2 linked regions of the Arabidopsis thaliana genome follow. Each later gene encodes a partner of the first gene's protein in a complex. Each region holds a gene or a part of one and is shown in the gene's direction. Other genes may lie near its edges.

Evidence for each region.
Region 2: the proteins of COI1 (region 1) and SKP1 are in contact, whole or in part, in a crystal structure (PDB 3OGK), measured with the Arabidopsis thaliana proteins. Residues at the interface, in NP_565919.1 of Arabidopsis thaliana: Cys13 (codon at 3,489), Val14 (codon at 3,492), Ala15 (codon at 3,495), Thr16 (codon at 3,498), Val17 (codon at 3,501), Asp19 (codon at 3,507), Val20 (codon at 3,510), Gln23 (codon at 3,519), Val24 (codon at 3,522), Tyr27 (codon at 3,531), Ile28 (codon at 3,534), Thr29 (codon at 3,537), Asp30 (codon at 3,540), Pro31 (codon at 3,543), Asp33 (codon at 3,549), Asp35 (codon at 3,555), Ser36 (codon at 3,558), Ser38 (codon at 3,564), Leu39 (codon at 3,567), Val40 (codon at 3,570), Cys41 (codon at 3,573), Arg42 (codon at 3,576), Trp44 (codon at 3,582), Phe45 (codon at 3,585), Arg52 (codon at 3,606), His54 (codon at 3,612), Val55 (codon at 3,615), Thr56 (codon at 3,618), Met57 (codon at 3,621), Ala58 (codon at 3,624); in NP_565123.1 of Arabidopsis thaliana: Ala96 (codon at 2,188), Phe99 (codon at 2,197), Glu100 (codon at 2,200), Ile102 (codon at 2,206), Leu103 (codon at 2,209), Asn106 (codon at 2,475), Leu114 (codon at 2,499), Asp115 (codon at 2,502), Cys118 (codon at 2,511), Gln119 (codon at 2,514), Val121 (codon at 2,520), Ala122 (codon at 2,523), Ile125 (codon at 2,532), Lys126 (codon at 2,535), Gly127 (codon at 2,538), Lys128 (codon at 2,541), Thr129 (codon at 2,544), Pro130 (codon at 2,547), Ile133 (codon at 2,556), Arg134 (codon at 2,559), Phe137 (codon at 2,568), Ile139 (codon at 2,574), Lys140 (codon at 2,577), Asn141 (codon at 2,580), Asp142 (codon at 2,583), Phe143 (codon at 2,586), Thr144 (codon at 2,589), Glu147 (codon at 2,598), Glu148 (codon at 2,601), Glu150 (codon at 2,607).

What each region holds. Positions count from the first base shown.
Region 1 is NC_003071.7:16,669,482-16,678,938, reverse strand, and holds COI1 (RNI-like superfamily protein), read left to right. Parts: upstream 1-3,074; 5' UTR 3,075-3,452; coding exon 3,453-3,943; intron 3,944-4,628; coding exon 4,629-5,109; intron 5,110-5,284; coding exon 5,285-6,091; 3' UTR 6,092-6,446; downstream 6,447-9,457. Other genes in the region: AT2G39950 (flocculation protein), read left to right, coding at 661-904, 982-2,181; ISA1 (isoamylase 1), read right to left, coding at 6,756-7,019, 7,099-7,216, 7,399-7,481, 7,568-7,648, 7,989-8,072, 8,227-8,382, 8,519-8,611, 9,015-9,101 and 1 more. UniProt on the Arabidopsis thaliana protein: Required for jasmonate-regulated plant fertility and defense processes, and for coronatine and/or other elicitors perceptions/responses. Seems to not be required for meiosis. Required for the regulation of some genes induced by wounding, but not for all.
Region 2 is NC_003070.9:28,514,813-28,522,014, forward strand, and holds SKP1 (S phase kinase-associated protein 1), read left to right. Parts: upstream 1-1,706; 5' UTR 1,707-1,902; coding exon 1,903-2,211; intron 2,212-2,468; coding exon 2,469-2,642; 3' UTR 2,643-3,084; downstream 3,085-7,202. Other genes in the region: AT1G75945 (uncharacterized protein), read right to left, coding at 601-682, 894-997; AT1G75960 (AMP-dependent synthetase and ligase family protein), read left to right, coding at 3,375-5,009. UniProt on the Arabidopsis thaliana protein: Involved in ubiquitination and subsequent proteasomal degradation of target proteins. Together with CUL1, RBX1 and a F-box protein, it forms a SCF E3 ubiquitin ligase complex. The functional specificity of this complex depends on the type of F-box protein.

The sequences.
Region 1 (9,457 bases):
TGTTCTTGATTTCTAGTCATATAGGGCTTTAATTTTCTCTCTGTTTTGTCATAACATCACTGACTATATATCCTTCTTAATCACTTTATATTATCTCGCTATGGCTTTCATTGAATGGTATTTTTTTTGTAAATTTAAGCTTTTTGTTTTCTCATCGTTACTACTTATTTGATTTAAAAGGTCTTTTGTGTGTTCTGGTGGTACTATTCTGTTCAAACTTATTACAATGGATCTATATAAAGTTCGTTTCAGGAAGCTCTTAGATAATCATGTTATCATCTTTTTTTGTTCTAGCTTCTAAGTTGCAGGTCCCTATGCTAAGTTATGAATAATGTAGTTTCAGTTAAGCTAAGCCACAGTCTTAAAAAGTGTCAAGTACCAAATTATTGAACATAATGTTTATTCCGGCAGTACCCTATGTTTTGTGAATATTAGTAATAGGCTAATAACATAGCTGTTCTGTAAACAGTTCTGCATGTTTATCTGGTAGATTCTTTTGATGTAGTTTGAATTAAGGGTAACTTGCAAGCATTTAAAAGCTCTTGGACTTGATCCAACTTCTGGTTTTCAGCATCTAGTGTTTATTTGTTAGTGCTTTTGATTTTGATATTAGAGTGTTTTTCCGACTGATTTCTTGACGTTTTATCTCCTATTGGTCAGGGGTAACCTGAGCCTTATGGTCTTGCCAACATCTGACTTGAGACTCTCATTTATTGGAGACAATGGTCATTCAGAACAACTCTTTACCTATACCAGCAAATCTCAGTGCTCTGCGGTGTCAATTGAGGAGATAACTGTGGACAGCTCTGGTAGATCTTTTGTTATAAGGATCGCAAATGGCAATGCTTTTTACTATTGGTGCTCAGAGAAGTCAAAACTTCTGGGAACTGAATTGCGTAGGAAGGTTTGTGAAATAGTGTTGTTTTAAAATCCTTGTCTGTGCATCTAAATTTTCTCATCATCTGTTGTTATCCTGTGTAGATGAAAGACTTGATCAAGAAGAAGCCATCAATCTCAGAATTAACTGGAATTGAAGAATCACGTCTTGGCTCTGTTGCTTCTCATCTCCGTTTGTATCTCATGGGTTCAGTGGTGCCTAACATCAAAGGTTGTCAGGTCCCATCTCCTGATTCATCATCATCTTCTGGCTTTTCTGAAACAGCTGATTCCTCCTCGAGTGCATCATCAAAATCTCTTAGAGCACGCCACTGTGGGACTCAACAGACAAAGACCCAAGGAAGCCTCAGCCCTAGAGCAAGCTCCTTCAAAGAAAACACACTGAGAAATGCTTCTCTACGTATCTCCTCTAGAGATAAATCAAAGGGACACAGTGAAGGCCATTTCTCAATCTTTGATAATTCATCCATTACCTCTATCCCCACCAATGTAGAGGGTTTTATCCAGTCAGAAGGAGAAGTTGAAGAAGCTACTGAGAATTATAATGGAATCAGACAAATTATTGCTTTTGAAGAAGCAGAGTCAACACCAAGTACAATGACCGGACCTCCCCCATTTCCTTTGAAGATGGGTCCACCAGTCTTTTCTCCTTATTATTGCTGGTGCCCTCCAACCACTTCATCGCTTCACGCACCATCTGCCTCTTATCAGTTCCCTCCACTATCCATTGAGCTACCTTCCCTTCCGCCACTTTCCTCCTTATTACCAGCATCGGGATCAGATGGATTCTTGATCCCGTCATCACCGCTCGATCTCTCTGACATCCCTCCATTACCATTAGTCCACCACATACCCATTCCAGGCTCATCATCATCATCATCCCAGCAACAGATGATGATTCCTATAATGTGCGACCCTATTGTTCATATTCCAGTTATCGATATCTTCTCTTCAGGTCAAAGCTATCTGGTAAGCGCTGGACCCACCGGGATAATATCCACGGGCATCCCTCCGCTCCCAGTGGAGAATGATTCGCTGGTCGAGAAAGGTGCAAGAGAAACACTACGATTGCTCATAAGCGGAGCCAATGCAACAACATCTACACCTTTGAACCATCATGGAAGCAGAGGTCTATACAGTGTGAGCCGGGATGTGAGTGGTGTGAGCTTGTTTGCACCTATTGGGTTGCAACAACCGAGTTCAGTTGAGGGAGGAGATGGTGGTGGTGAGAGTGTGAGCTCAAGCGAAGCAGTGCCTGCGCCTCCCAGAGAGACTTCTGGTTAATTTTTTTGGTTCTTTGTAAGTGTGGTCCGAGTTAAGTGTATAGAAAACTCATCTCTCGCCTAGTTTTTGGTTTTGTTCAGCCCAAGTCTTTTGGTTTCAGGTGTAATTAGTCGGGTTTTTTGTAGCTTGCTTATATTACCTTTGTTATTTCCGAGTTTCAAATGAAGCTAAGAAATACGATCATAATAAAAAAGTTCTTTTGCAGTATTCATTTTCTTTCATGGTTCCCTCCTTATTCATAGTCATTGTTGTTCTTTCTAATACTTTTCCTGAGCTTTTTTTTTCTATTGGAAAAACTTTTGTCACTGAAAGAAATTTCAATGTGATTGGTTCTTTTCGCAACTGTAATAAGCACTAAAAGTTAATAATTTGCTGCTTTTTAAGTCTTGTTGCTGAATGATTTAATCCCAAAGACGTTAAAAAAAAGACATGTAAATAGTCTTTGTTCCAAAAGTACCATTTTGAGCGCTTTCTTTCGACAATTGATGTTGAACTTGTACCAAATAAACCTTGAAAATCATACATCATTAAATGTAGTTTTTTGTTATATACTTATATTCATATGGTCCATAATATATAGTTAACCATATTATGGACCATATAAATTCATGCAGTCAACAACTTTTTTTTTCCTCATTAAAAGCTACTAATACTGTAGAAAATTTTTATCTTACAAAAGAAAGGAGAATTATTGTATTTTTATTTTAATCACATATAAAGCAACCAAAGATAACATATACTAGTATTTAGTATTTTTAAATTTTTTGCTTAGGATTCAGGTTATTAATACTCTATAAAGAAATAATTAAATCTATCCATCGAATAAATCACACAGCTTATTGGATCAGTTAAATATTCTAATAATATTGTCGTGTAGCTGAGATCTGACCACTGCAAAAATGAAAAGAAAAACATAGAAGTAGAGAGAAGATCGCATCTCGACCGTCAACTTCAGTGTATGAAATAATGATCGTCCCACTTGATCCTCAAAAATATTATTAACCAAACAAAATTTGATTCCATCGTCCCACTTTCTTCTTCTTCCTCCCAATCCGCCTCTTCTTCCTACGCGTGTCTTCTTCTCCCTCACTCTCTCAATCTCTAGTCTTCTCCGATTCACCGGATCTTTCCTTTCTTACTTCTTTCTTCTCACTCTGGTGGTTATGTGTGGATCTGCGACCTCGATTTCAATTCGAAGTCGTCGGTTTCTTCTCTAAATCGAATCTTTCCAGGATTCGTTTGTTTTTTTCTTTTGTTTTTTTTTCGATCCGATGGAGGATCCTGATATCAAGAGGTGTAAATTGAGCTGCGTCGCGACGGTTGATGATGTCATCGAGCAAGTCATGACCTATATAACTGACCCGAAAGATCGCGATTCGGCTTCTTTGGTGTGTCGGAGATGGTTCAAGATTGATTCCGAGACGAGAGAGCATGTGACTATGGCGCTTTGCTACACTGCGACGCCTGATCGTCTTAGCCGTCGATTCCCGAACTTGAGGTCGCTCAAGCTTAAAGGCAAGCCTAGAGCAGCTATGTTTAATCTGATCCCTGAGAACTGGGGAGGTTATGTTACTCCTTGGGTTACTGAGATTTCTAACAACCTTAGGCAGCTCAAATCGGTGCACTTCCGACGGATGATTGTCAGTGACTTAGATCTAGATCGTTTAGCTAAAGCTAGAGCAGATGATCTTGAGACTTTGAAGCTAGACAAGTGTTCTGGTTTTACTACTGATGGACTTTTGAGCATCGTTACACACTGCAGGTACACTTACTTCTCAGTATCTTGTAGCTACTTTGGCTCGATGCTTTTGAGGTTTAGCGACTCCTTATCATTTCCTACTTTGACTAGAACTCTAGATGCATTTGGCTCTTTTTAAAAAACTTAATAAGTCGTCGTTGTACAAAGAACCATATCTTGAGTTTGTGTTTGTAAAGATTTGATCTTCTTTAGCTCAATTGGGTAAGTTGTAACTTTGGTGGATACTTTTTGTCCTTAATGAAATTGGTGAACCTTACTTCATTTGATTTCTTAGTACACTTTACACTAAGAGTAATATAAGCAGAAACATTTATTTCAGAAAGTTTCAGTATTTAGGCGTTCATGTTTGTCTTATATCCTTAATTGCTTTGCAACTGTTATGCTTGCTATTAAAGCAGAAATTGCAATGATCTTCAGTTATTTCTCAATTGGGGAAGTATAAACTTTGATCCGGATTTTATCTACAACCAATTTTTTCCCTCTTTGGGGAACATTCACTTTGTTTATGCATAAATAGCAAAAAGATTGATTTCTGACATCTTCAGTCTGCCAGAGTTTATGTGTATTATTTGGTTTTTGAATCCTTGATTCGGCTGCTGCTGTTCTTCATATTCAGTTTTAGCGGGAAATCCAAATATCTTGAGTTGTTTCTCACTTTATTCATGCAACTGTCTGTTGTCTTGTCCAGGAAAATAAAAACTTTGTTAATGGAAGAGAGTTCTTTTAGTGAAAAGGATGGTAAGTGGCTTCATGAGCTTGCTCAGCACAACACATCTCTTGAGGTTTTAAACTTCTACATGACGGAGTTTGCCAAAATCAGTCCCAAAGACTTGGAAACCATAGCTAGAAATTGCCGCTCTCTGGTATCTGTGAAGGTCGGTGACTTTGAGATTTTGGAACTAGTTGGGTTCTTTAAGGCTGCAGCTAATCTTGAAGAATTTTGTGGTGGCTCCTTGAATGAGGATATTGGAATGCCTGAGAAGTACATGAATCTGGTTTTTCCCCGAAAACTATGTCGGCTTGGTCTCTCTTACATGGGACCTAATGAAATGCCAATACTATTTCCATTCGCGGCCCAAATCCGAAAGCTGGATTTGCTTTATGCATTGCTAGAAACTGAAGACCATTGTACGCTTATCCAAAAGTGTCCTAATTTGGAAGTTCTCGAGGTAAACGTTTAACTTTGCTGTCTTTACTACATACTTGGGAATGCGTCCTTAGTACTAAATTGTGTTCCTATTTTTTCACGAAATATTTGGGGAGATAAGGGATATGAATGCAATATTGGTTCTCTTTAGTCTTTACATCTATATAAGACTGACAACACTTGTTGTTTTTCTTCAGACAAGGAATGTAATCGGAGATAGGGGTCTAGAGGTCCTTGCACAGTACTGTAAGCAGTTGAAGCGGCTGAGGATTGAACGCGGTGCAGATGAACAAGGAATGGAGGACGAAGAAGGCTTAGTCTCACAAAGAGGATTAATCGCTTTGGCTCAGGGCTGCCAGGAGCTAGAATACATGGCGGTGTATGTCTCAGATATAACTAACGAATCTCTTGAAAGCATAGGCACATATCTGAAAAACCTCTGTGACTTCCGCCTTGTCTTACTCGACCGGGAAGAAAGGATTACAGATCTGCCACTGGACAACGGAGTCCGATCTCTTTTGATTGGATGCAAGAAACTCAGACGATTTGCATTCTATCTGAGACAAGGCGGCTTAACCGACTTGGGCTTAAGCTACATCGGACAGTACAGTCCAAACGTGAGATGGATGCTGCTGGGTTACGTAGGTGAATCAGATGAAGGTTTAATGGAATTCTCAAGAGGCTGTCCAAATCTACAGAAGCTAGAGATGAGAGGTTGTTGCTTCAGTGAGCGAGCAATCGCTGCAGCGGTTACAAAATTGCCTTCACTGAGATACTTGTGGGTACAAGGTTACAGAGCATCGATGACGGGACAAGATCTAATGCAGATGGCTAGACCGTACTGGAACATCGAGCTGATTCCATCAAGAAGAGTCCCGGAAGTGAATCAACAAGGAGAGATAAGAGAGATGGAGCATCCGGCTCATATATTGGCTTACTACTCTCTGGCTGGCCAGAGAACAGATTGTCCAACAACTGTTAGAGTCCTGAAGGAGCCAATATGATATGACCCAAAAAACAGGTTTGTATATAAAGATTTTTAGTCTCGAGTTTTGGGGTTTCCACAAACTGTGTACTATACTACTTTGGTTCTTTTTTTGTTTCATGTTGTGTCGTCGATGTTTTTGGGAGATTACATAGAGTCAGTCTTGTTTGTTGTATGGTCATTACTTCTTTATTTTTCCTCAGGGGTCTGTTTACTTTAATTTCTTTAATAAAACCCCGAAGATTTTGAGAGATTTCTTTATCGTCCATGGTGTTGACTTCTGAGAGCTATATTTGTTTGGATTGGCATCTGAAACTTTATTTGTGGTTGTGATTGTTTTGATAACATTAGTAAAAAGGCAAATAATAGAGTACTAATAATCATTTATAACTTTATAGATGAAAACTTTGATTTCTTGTTCTTACACGAATTCTGAAAACGATGTAACAAGCTTTTGATTGGATTAACAGACGATAAAGGAATCTATTAACAATGAGTGGGCATATCTGAAGCCGACCAAAGGTACCCCATTCAGATTCTTCTAACCATAAAAGGAACCTTTACTATAATACATTATATAGGTAACGAAATAGTTGTCTGTATATGCATCTCATTCACATTTGAGAAGATTCCTTCATATGTTGTGATTTTGTCTAATACGCTTTTGGAGGAATCACGCAAACTCAGGGGTCTTTAATTGGTGAAAGAAGGAGAATGATGGATGAGTAACTGAGCATTGGGTACACATTTGCATCTAAGAAGTGCCTATACTGCTTCATCGCCGTTTCTCTCTCTGGGAGATCCGGTGTTATGCAGTCGTAAGGGCTCGGTTTGCTCGTGTCTACAAATGGCTCCCATCGGTATCCTGGCCTATTCGGTAGCGAAACAAGTGTGGCTAAATGACTGGTGTTGAAGGCCACATAGATTTCTTTCTTCACAGAATCGACCTACCGAAAAACAAAAGGGATTAATATCACCCACTAAGGAAACTGTCCATGTAAGAGAAGGGGTATGAGAAAATGGTACCAGTGAAAATGCAACAAATCGACTTGTTTCAGACCAATTTGGGATCTCAGGAGCAAGACCATGCCACTGCAGACGCTTTGCTGTTGGGAAATCATTCAAGCCAAGTGATTCACATTCACTACAATACAGTCATAATGGCCATCGATCAGAGGAAACCCGAGAAACAGGGGATTGCAAAAGAAAGAAAACACATAGCAGTAGGTGAAAAGGAAGAAGCATGTCAATTATTGGATTTGAGACTAAGTGAAGCGATCAACTAAGCAATTAAGATCGATAGACTCATGAAAGAAGATTACATACTCACGAAACTTGATAAGAATACGGCAGAATCTGAAGAAGTCAGAATGTGCTTCTTCCTTTTTATCCCACCGAAAATAGTTCATCTGCATCAGAGTTGTGTTAATGTCGGAAAGCTAAGATCGAAAAAATTACTTATAATCACCCTGGAAGCAAAGCATAAGGGGTTTACATAGTTGTCATGGCAATACGTGTTGTTGTTTCCCCCTTTAGTATGGCCATATTCATCTCCCATGTAAATCATTGGGACACCCTGGTGATTAATAGTTCAGAAAGACAGAAAAGGAAAAGGTTAAGCAATACACTAATTTCAATGAAAACCGGAGCATCACAATCTGACAAAGCAGTACCCTTAATACATATTCTTTGCATGACACCATGCCATTACCAGTCACAACTTAACATGTTGCAAAGGCAAACAAACAGTGCATAGTACTTAATTGCTAGTGGATTTAGATTCTCTTGTGGCTTATTAATTTATATTTTGAACTCATGCCCTCTACTCCAGTATCATAGTTCAATGTGCATAACATCAGTGAAACGAGCTTTGAGCAGGAATTAAAATTAAAGAAGCAACAAATGGTTAGCTTTACTTGGGAAACCATGAGGGAAACAAAGAAATTCCGCATCTGTCGTTTCCTTAGTCTCTTCACCGAGATACTCGCAAAGTCTCCCTCCTGCAGCCCAATCAAATGAAGCCTTTTTAGTTTAGGTAAAAGTGCAATAGCCATTTCATTTCAGCTTATAAACATTCTACAAAAAGTCGTATGATATAATATGAGACTGAATTCACATAGCTGATGAAAGAGAAAACAAAGATTAATATCTTACCTCTCCACAGTTCCAGCTGTAATTGTGATTCTCTCCATCATTATTCTCTTCTCCATTTGCCAAGTTATTCTTATTGTTGTAAGTTACTAAATCTGCCAACGTAAAACCATCATGCGCACATATAAAATTGATGCTGTGCCAAGGTTTCCTACCTCCCTGATGCACAGACACAATCAGATATCGATAAGATATACAACCAAAATATGAAGCTTCACAGACAAAACAACCAAGAGAACACCATAAAGATTAGTTATATATCCAGATACCCCAGTATAATAGGAGTTAAATTTACCTGGTACAGATTTGGGCTTCCACAGAGACATTCAGCAAAAGCACCAGAAAAGCCATCGGTGCCTTTTATGAACTGTCTCACAACATCCCGAAACTGAAATGGACAAAAATGTTACTATACCATATCAAATTCACAACGAAGATAGATATCCAGCACAGTGCACACACTAATGGGAACTACCACGAGAACTGAATATTCATTATTGTTGTCTCATGTGTTGTCTATTGGATAGTAAGTTTAAGACTTCCATGTTCATTGCTAATACAGGCTAGTAGGTTACTATACACTTCAGTTAGCTAGTACAGGCAGATCACATAGGCTGTCCCATTTTCAATTGATTAGAGCATATTCTAAGGGTCAGCAGAAAGATGAATAACCACTAATAATTACATCACATTTGGCATGAAACCCTTATACACTGTGACACTTACTCTTCCATATCTCATGTCTCAAACAATTGAAAGAAGCATTTTATCCTCGTAATACATTAACTGACCTTTCCATTCCACTCAGACCAAATACCCCAGTGTGGAAACATGCCAACTTGGTACAGCCCACCCGCATCCCATGCTTCAGCTATTAGCTGTTTGCAAAGAAGCAACATAAACACATAAATATCTCATCGTCAAAGATCTTACATTGGTGAATGTATTTCCATCAAGAAAATGACAACTTTTTAACAATCATCTTTAGATCTGGAGATTATGACATGACTTGAAAAAAAAACACAAAGGAAGCTCTATGCTGAAGTACAACAAGAAGAAATAAAACATGTTGTACGCTAATTAACCTTTTGGTGCCTAATCACATTGGGAGATTTTAAAGTTTGGTCATGGATTGAGATAAAATAGTAGTCATGTAGTCAGCATTTCTCCACTCTAAACAAGGAAAACCGACGCTATCTGAAGGGGACATATCAAGGGAACTAGTTGATCACCT
Region 2 (7,202 bases), on another chromosome or scaffold:
TAAAATACGTTATAACTAAAAAAACTGAATGCATTTCAAAAAAGTTACCATATAATCATATAAGTAAGCATATAAATCATACACCTTATCTTGATGTATATGATTAGTTATAACTAGAAAAGAAAACAAAACAAAGTTGAATATTATATCTAAGAATATATATTACCCATTAAGAAATAAATGAAAGAGAGAATAAAATCCACAGCATTATATAAATATTGTAGCCCTGGGAGTTCGGATATATCGGTTTAATCGGTTCGGTTTATTTAGTTTTTCGGGGTTTTTGGATTTTTTAATTTCTAGCCGAATTGAACCGAACAAAAATTCGGTTCGGGTCGGTTCGGACATCGGTTTTTTCGGTTCGGTTATTGGGTATAAATTAAATTCCGGATTAAACCGATTTTTTTTCTAATTCGGTTAATTTGAACCAAATAAACCACAAATTAAAAAAATGGACTTACAAAAATGAAATCTAATAAAAAACAAACAACAGGCCCAATACACAAATATACAGTTACAATTACAAATCCACAACACAATTATGGGTCAGGTCCATTACAAAATTAGGGTTTTGAGTTTTGACAAAAAAAATATGTACGACTACAACTCCAAACTGCGACGTCGAGCAGTGCCTCTCCAATCTAGTGATCTACCATTCCGACGACGTAATGCCCTACGAGACCTGTTAAACGCCCGTTTGTTATCCATGAAGTAAGAAAAAACATGAGATGGAAGTGTAAACCATAAAAGATCCATAAAAATAATGGATAATCTCAGATTTGGAAGTGTAAAGCCTAACTCTAAAATTTCAGAAATTATAGAGACAGAGGAAGAGCTTAGAGAGCAAAGAATCAAACAAAACAAATGATTAAAGAGAAATAAGAAGAGTTTACCCTAAGAAAGTTGAGGTTGTGGGTTGAATCTCTGAGCAAAGGTTTTTTGTAAGACCAACTGAGATTAGAGAGAATGAAAGAGGCTTGGAAGATGATGAATTCATGAAGGAGAAGAGACGAGTTGATGATTACTAATTCAATCGAAGAAAAATATCAAAGTTTCTTTGTTGTTTTCGCAAGAGGCAGAGAGCCAAAAACGAAGAAGAAACCTAATTAGGTTAAGACTCATCAATTAACCTTATATATGGCTGCAGATTCTCGGTATGGGTGAAACCGATTGGTTCCGATTACCGAACCGACCCGAACCGACTTCCGAATTCTTAAATTAATTTGGCCGATCGGTTCGATCTCCTTAATTCGGTTGCTGCCGAAAACCAAAATTTTCGTTTTTTTCGGTTCGGTTTTCTCGGGTTGAACCGTTATCCCAGGCCTAAAATATTGTATGACTCTTGACCAAAAACTAGTTAGATATATTATTTATTATGACATATTAATATTAACTTAATATAAAATAAAAATAAATGTTCAAAAAACATGATCTTAAAGCTGACAAAGCTGATTTGATTGACTAATACTTATCCTACGGTGATTTTTGGTTCTTTTACTTTTTTTGACAATTATGGAGCTGGATGGAAAAAAAATATATATAAAATCATATATTATTAATAATGAGATAAATACAACGAATTAAACGGATCAAAGTTAATATTTCCAAAAGAAAAATAGAACAGAGTCCTAATTTCATTAATTTCAACTATTGAAAACAAAATTTAAAATCAATAGGATTGATTTCTATTTTTCTTTTAGAAAAACAAAATTTGAAACAATTTCCTAATTTCCCTAAACTTGCGACTTTTTAACAATCGACCGACTTATCAAAATTAGGGATTGTTTTATATATAAAGAGAGACGCATCTCTTTATTTCATTCATCGCTTCTCCAAAATTTTCTTCAAAGAACAAATCTCCCAAATCTAAAATCTTTCTCTTCTCTCTTCGTTTCCATAACCATGTCTGCGAAGAAGATTGTGTTGAAGAGTTCCGATGGTGAATCTTTCGAGGTTGAGGAGGCGGTGGCTCTCGAGTCACAAACCATAGCGCATATGGTTGAAGACGACTGCGTCGACAACGGAGTCCCTCTTCCTAACGTCACGAGCAAGATCCTCGCCAAGGTGATCGAGTATTGCAAGAGGCACGTCGAGGCTGCTGCCTCTAAGGCCGAGGCCGTCGAGGGTGCTGCTACCTCCGATGACGATCTTAAGGCCTGGGACGCTGATTTTATGAAGATCGATCAAGCTACTCTCTTTGAACTCATTCTGGTATGTTTCTTCTCTCGATCTGATTTGATTTTTCCATCGAATTTTGAATTTTGGGATTCTAGGGTTTTCGATTTGGGAAAATTAGGGTTTCGAAATTTAGGTGTTTGTTTCAGAAATTGAATCTGCTTGAGATTGATATTGTTAGGGTTCTTATGGAACCAATCATTAATTGAATCTATCGATTTGGATTATAATCATATCTGTGTTTTTGGATTCGGATTTTGATCTAATGGTTATGAATTTGGGATCTTGTGCAGGCTGCTAATTACCTGAATATCAAGAACTTGCTTGATCTAACATGTCAGACAGTTGCGGATATGATCAAAGGAAAGACTCCAGAAGAGATCCGCACAACGTTCAACATTAAGAACGACTTCACACCAGAGGAAGAGGAAGAGGTTCGCAGAGAGAACCAATGGGCTTTTGAATGATTGATCTTCAGAGAGAAGAATCAAAAGCAGCAAGCAACCAGTTTCTTCTTCCTTATGTTTATTGCCGTTTTCAAGTGTTGTTGATGACTTGCTTTTTAATATTCTTCATGAATCATGACTATCTTCTTCCTCTTCTTTCTTTCTTATCAAGAACCAATGTTTCTTACTCTTTGTGGGATGGATAATTTGTGCTTTTAGATAATCTTCAAGAGTGATGTTGGTTTGTCTTACAAAATAACTTCTTTCAATTGTCTTGCCAATCGCCACAGAATGCTAATTTGCACGATTCATTTTAGGAATGTTCATGTGTAAATAAAAAGAAACTGAATTTGGCAGAGTCTGCAAGCAGAATGTGAAGGATCATGACGACTACTCATTGAAACCAATGGTCACCAGTTATGCCCTGCTCCTGCTCATCTACTTACATAAATATCTGCATCACGTATTTGTATCTTGTCAACATCTTCTCAAATACTAACATAATCAGCATCACCCATTCGTCAACATTCGATAACATGTGGGCTTTGTTTGCATATAAGAAAACAAAGTTTCCACTCAACCGAACGTGGATCACATGTACATCAATATAATTACTTTAATTGTTTGTCTGGCTAGTCAAGTGGTCTCTCGTCTCGTCATTGTGTATCTTATCTTTACTATGAGACTGAAAGAGATATCTTCTTTATATACAGTAACACTCACATTGTGGTCACTCGAAAAGAGCTAAAGAAAATGGAAGATTTGAAGCCAAGTGCCGCTAACTCGTTACCATTGACACTGTTAGGCTTTCTTGAGAGAGCAGCCACCGTGTATGGAGACTGTACCTCCATCGTTTACGGCAATTCCACCGTGTACACATGGCGAGAAACGAATCACCGTTGCCTCTGCGTCGCGTCTGCTCTGTCTTCCATTGGAATAGGAAGATCCGACGTTGTCTCTGTCCTATCTGCTAATACTCCGGAAATGTACGAGCTCCAGTTTTCCGTTCCGATGTCTGGCGCGATCCTTAACAACATCAATACCCGCCTCGACGCGCGAACCGTCTCTGTTCTTCTCCGCCATTGCGAGTCTAAGCTGCTCTTCGTCGACTTCTTTTACTCCGATCTCGCTGTCGAAGCGATCACGATGTTGCTCAATCCGCCGATTCTCGTCCTAATCGCCAATGAGGAGGAGGAAGAAGGAGGAGCTGAAGTAACGGAGCGTTCAAAATTCTGTTACTTGTACAGTGATCTAATCACTAGAGGGAATCCGGATTTTAAATGGATCCGACCCGGAAGTGAATGGGACCCGATTGTGGTCAATTACACATCAGGTACGACGTCGTCTCCTAAAGGAGTGGTTCATTGCCACAGGGGTATATTCGTCATGACGCTTGATTCCCTAACCGATTGGGCCGTACCGAAAACCCCGGTTTACTTATGGACCTTACCGATATTTCACGCCAACGGTTGGACCTATCCATGGGGAATCGCCGCCGTCGGAGGAACTAACGTCTGTGTGCGTAAACTCCACGCGCCGTCAATATACCATCTAATCCGTGATCACGGCGTGACTCACATGTACGGCGCACCAATAGTGCTTCAGATTCTATCGGCGAGTCAAGAATCTGATCAGCCTCTTAAGAGTCCGGTCAATTTCTTAACCGCCGGTTCTTCTCCGCCAGCTACGGTGCTTCTCCGCGCCGAGTCTCTAGGTTTCATCGTCAGTCACGGTTACGGATTAACGGAGACAGCCGGTGTGATCGTCTCCTGCGCGTGGAAGCCAAACTGGAATCGGTTACCGGCGAGTGATCAAGCGCAATTGAAATCACGGCAAGGAGTGAGAACCGTCGGATTTAGCGAAATCGATGTAGTGGATCCAGAATCAGGTCGGAGCGTGGAGAGAGACGGAGAAACAGTCGGAGAAATAGTGTTGAGAGGGAGTTCAATCATGCTCGGATACTTAAAAAATCCGATCGGAACTCAAAATTCGTTTAAAAACGGGTGGTTCTTCACCGGAGACCTCGGTGTGATTCACGGGGATGGTTACTTAGAGATTAAAGATAGATCGAAAGATGTGATTATTTCAGGAGGAGAGAATGTGAGTAGTGTGGAAGTGGAGGCGGTGTTGTACACGAATCCGGCGGTGAATGAAGCGGCGGTGGTGGCTAGACCTGACGAGTTTTGGGGAGAGACGCCGTGTGCTTTTGTTAGTTTAAAACCCGGGTTGACCCGGAAACCAACGGATAAGGAGATTATAGAGTATTGCAAATATAAAATGCCACGTTACATGGCTCCTAAAACGGTCTCGTTTCTTGAAGAGTTACCAAAGACTTCCACTGGGAAGATTATAAAGTCATTGCTTAAAGAGATTGCCAAAAACATGTAAAAGTATTGTAATTTTGATCTAATATCAGATATGTCATCTCTTTCATTAAGATTAATCATATGATCAAATTAATTGAAATCAGTCTCTTTCGTGGCCGCATATGTCTCAGCATCAAAAGAAAGTGGTTTATCACAAAAAAGAAAAAAAAAAAGAGAACAAAAAGCTCCGTTACCGGGAATCGAACCCGGGTCTCCTGGGTGAAAGCCAGATATCCTAACCGCTGGACGATAACGGATTGATGTTGTATTATCTCATTTATACATTATTATTTCAACACTAAGTCTGGTATTACAGGGTTTTGGCATGGACGTCGTGAAATATGCAAGCTCATGTCAACGATGCAAATAGCATAAGCTTTTGGGTTTTTATTTAGAGCTATATTAATTGATATGCATGGAAGATGAAGAAATTAAGAATCTATGCATAAATATTAGTTATTTTGGTAAGTATGAAAGATAAATAATATATAAACTAAAAATATCTTTTTTTACATTAATTACAAAAATGCTATTGAATAAAATTAATTGTAATTTGCGGATAATAAGCATATAGCTATTTGTTTAACGTGCTAAAAACTGTGATATCACGATAAATTTATAAATTATTTGTTAAAAAAATAGTTATCGATTTAAAATTGTAAATCTTTATTTTTTATTTATGTATATTCAAAACAATAGAAGGAAATTAGACTTTTTCTTACATAATTAAGATGATAATAATTATAACAACATGATATATAGAATAATAACATGCTAACATATTATATAACGGAATAATATTTATATAAAAACGTTAAAATATTTGATATATGAATAATATTTACTCTAACATATAATTTATACATAATATTTTTCAATAATTGTTAACGAGGATAACCTGATAACAATGAAAATATTTAGTAATAAAAATAAGATGTGAAATTTTATTTAAAAAACAAAAAATACAAATGTATAATAAAGTAACTTCATCAGTTATTTTACTGTTGAAATAGTCAACAATTCCGCCACCTAATTTTTCAGTCTTCAGGACATATTTATTATAATTTCTCTTTTATTTAACTATGTAGTATGTGAGTTGGCATAAACAATATTTAGAAATCCAAAGACATGTAGAAGGTCTACAATAGAACAAAGATTATAATTGTTTTAGTAACCACAAACGACATAATATTTTAGTAACAAACGATTGATATCAAACAGTCAAACTCTATCAGTCTCTTCATTATGGTAGCAGTATATGGAGCCTCATTGGATTTATCCACCTCTCCCATCCCTGGCGTTTTCTCAGCTTGTTATTCTGCACATAATTTAATTTCAACATTCAGTAAATATTAGTATTTCATGATTATCTATCTTGGTGGAAAGAACATAAAACAAAAACAAAAACAGATAAAGTTATAGAACTCTTGTTACGTGTGATTATTAGTAAATTACCTGGATTTCAACTGTAGCTGATGATTTCATTGAACGCAATATCAACTCAATATCATTAGTCATGCTTTTGATCTGATTTTTTTTATTTTTTATATTTTTGTAAAGGCCAAGAAAAAACGATTAAGATTATTATTATCCACTCTATTTTTCAAAAAAATAAAATATTCACTAAAGTTAACTTACTCTTGGAAAATCTGTAATAGTTAAAATATTAACCCATCCTTGATTATCCATTTGAGATCTCAAGTACTCATCTTTTGCCAAATTATCATCGCTGCATTATCAATGAAGGTAAACATATCCTAAGAAATCAATAAACACAAAAAACAAAAAAAACTTTAAAGTAAATAAACCAAAATAAAAGTTTATTTACCTAAAATAATAATCAATTTGGAAAACGATGAAAGAAGATAAACTGGAACATGCTGCTGACCTAAAATCTGGAAGATGTGCTAAATCTGTTGCTCACAACTTACATAAGTTAGTAAAAAACTCAAGAGTAATGATAAGAAACACTAGCTAATATATATAAAACAAACTTAATAACAACTTACCAAACACAGGTCTATAAGAAAACTGCTGAAGAGGAAAACATGGTTTGATAGAAAACGTTTGTGAATAATTAGACATTATAGCCGATTTAATCCCTTTGAAACTGAACTTTGATTCTAATTAGATGGTGTGGAAATAATGTTTCTCGATCTCTTGAATACAGGGTTGAGTCACGTTGTTTATATAGTGGTCTGCTTTTTTTATTCCT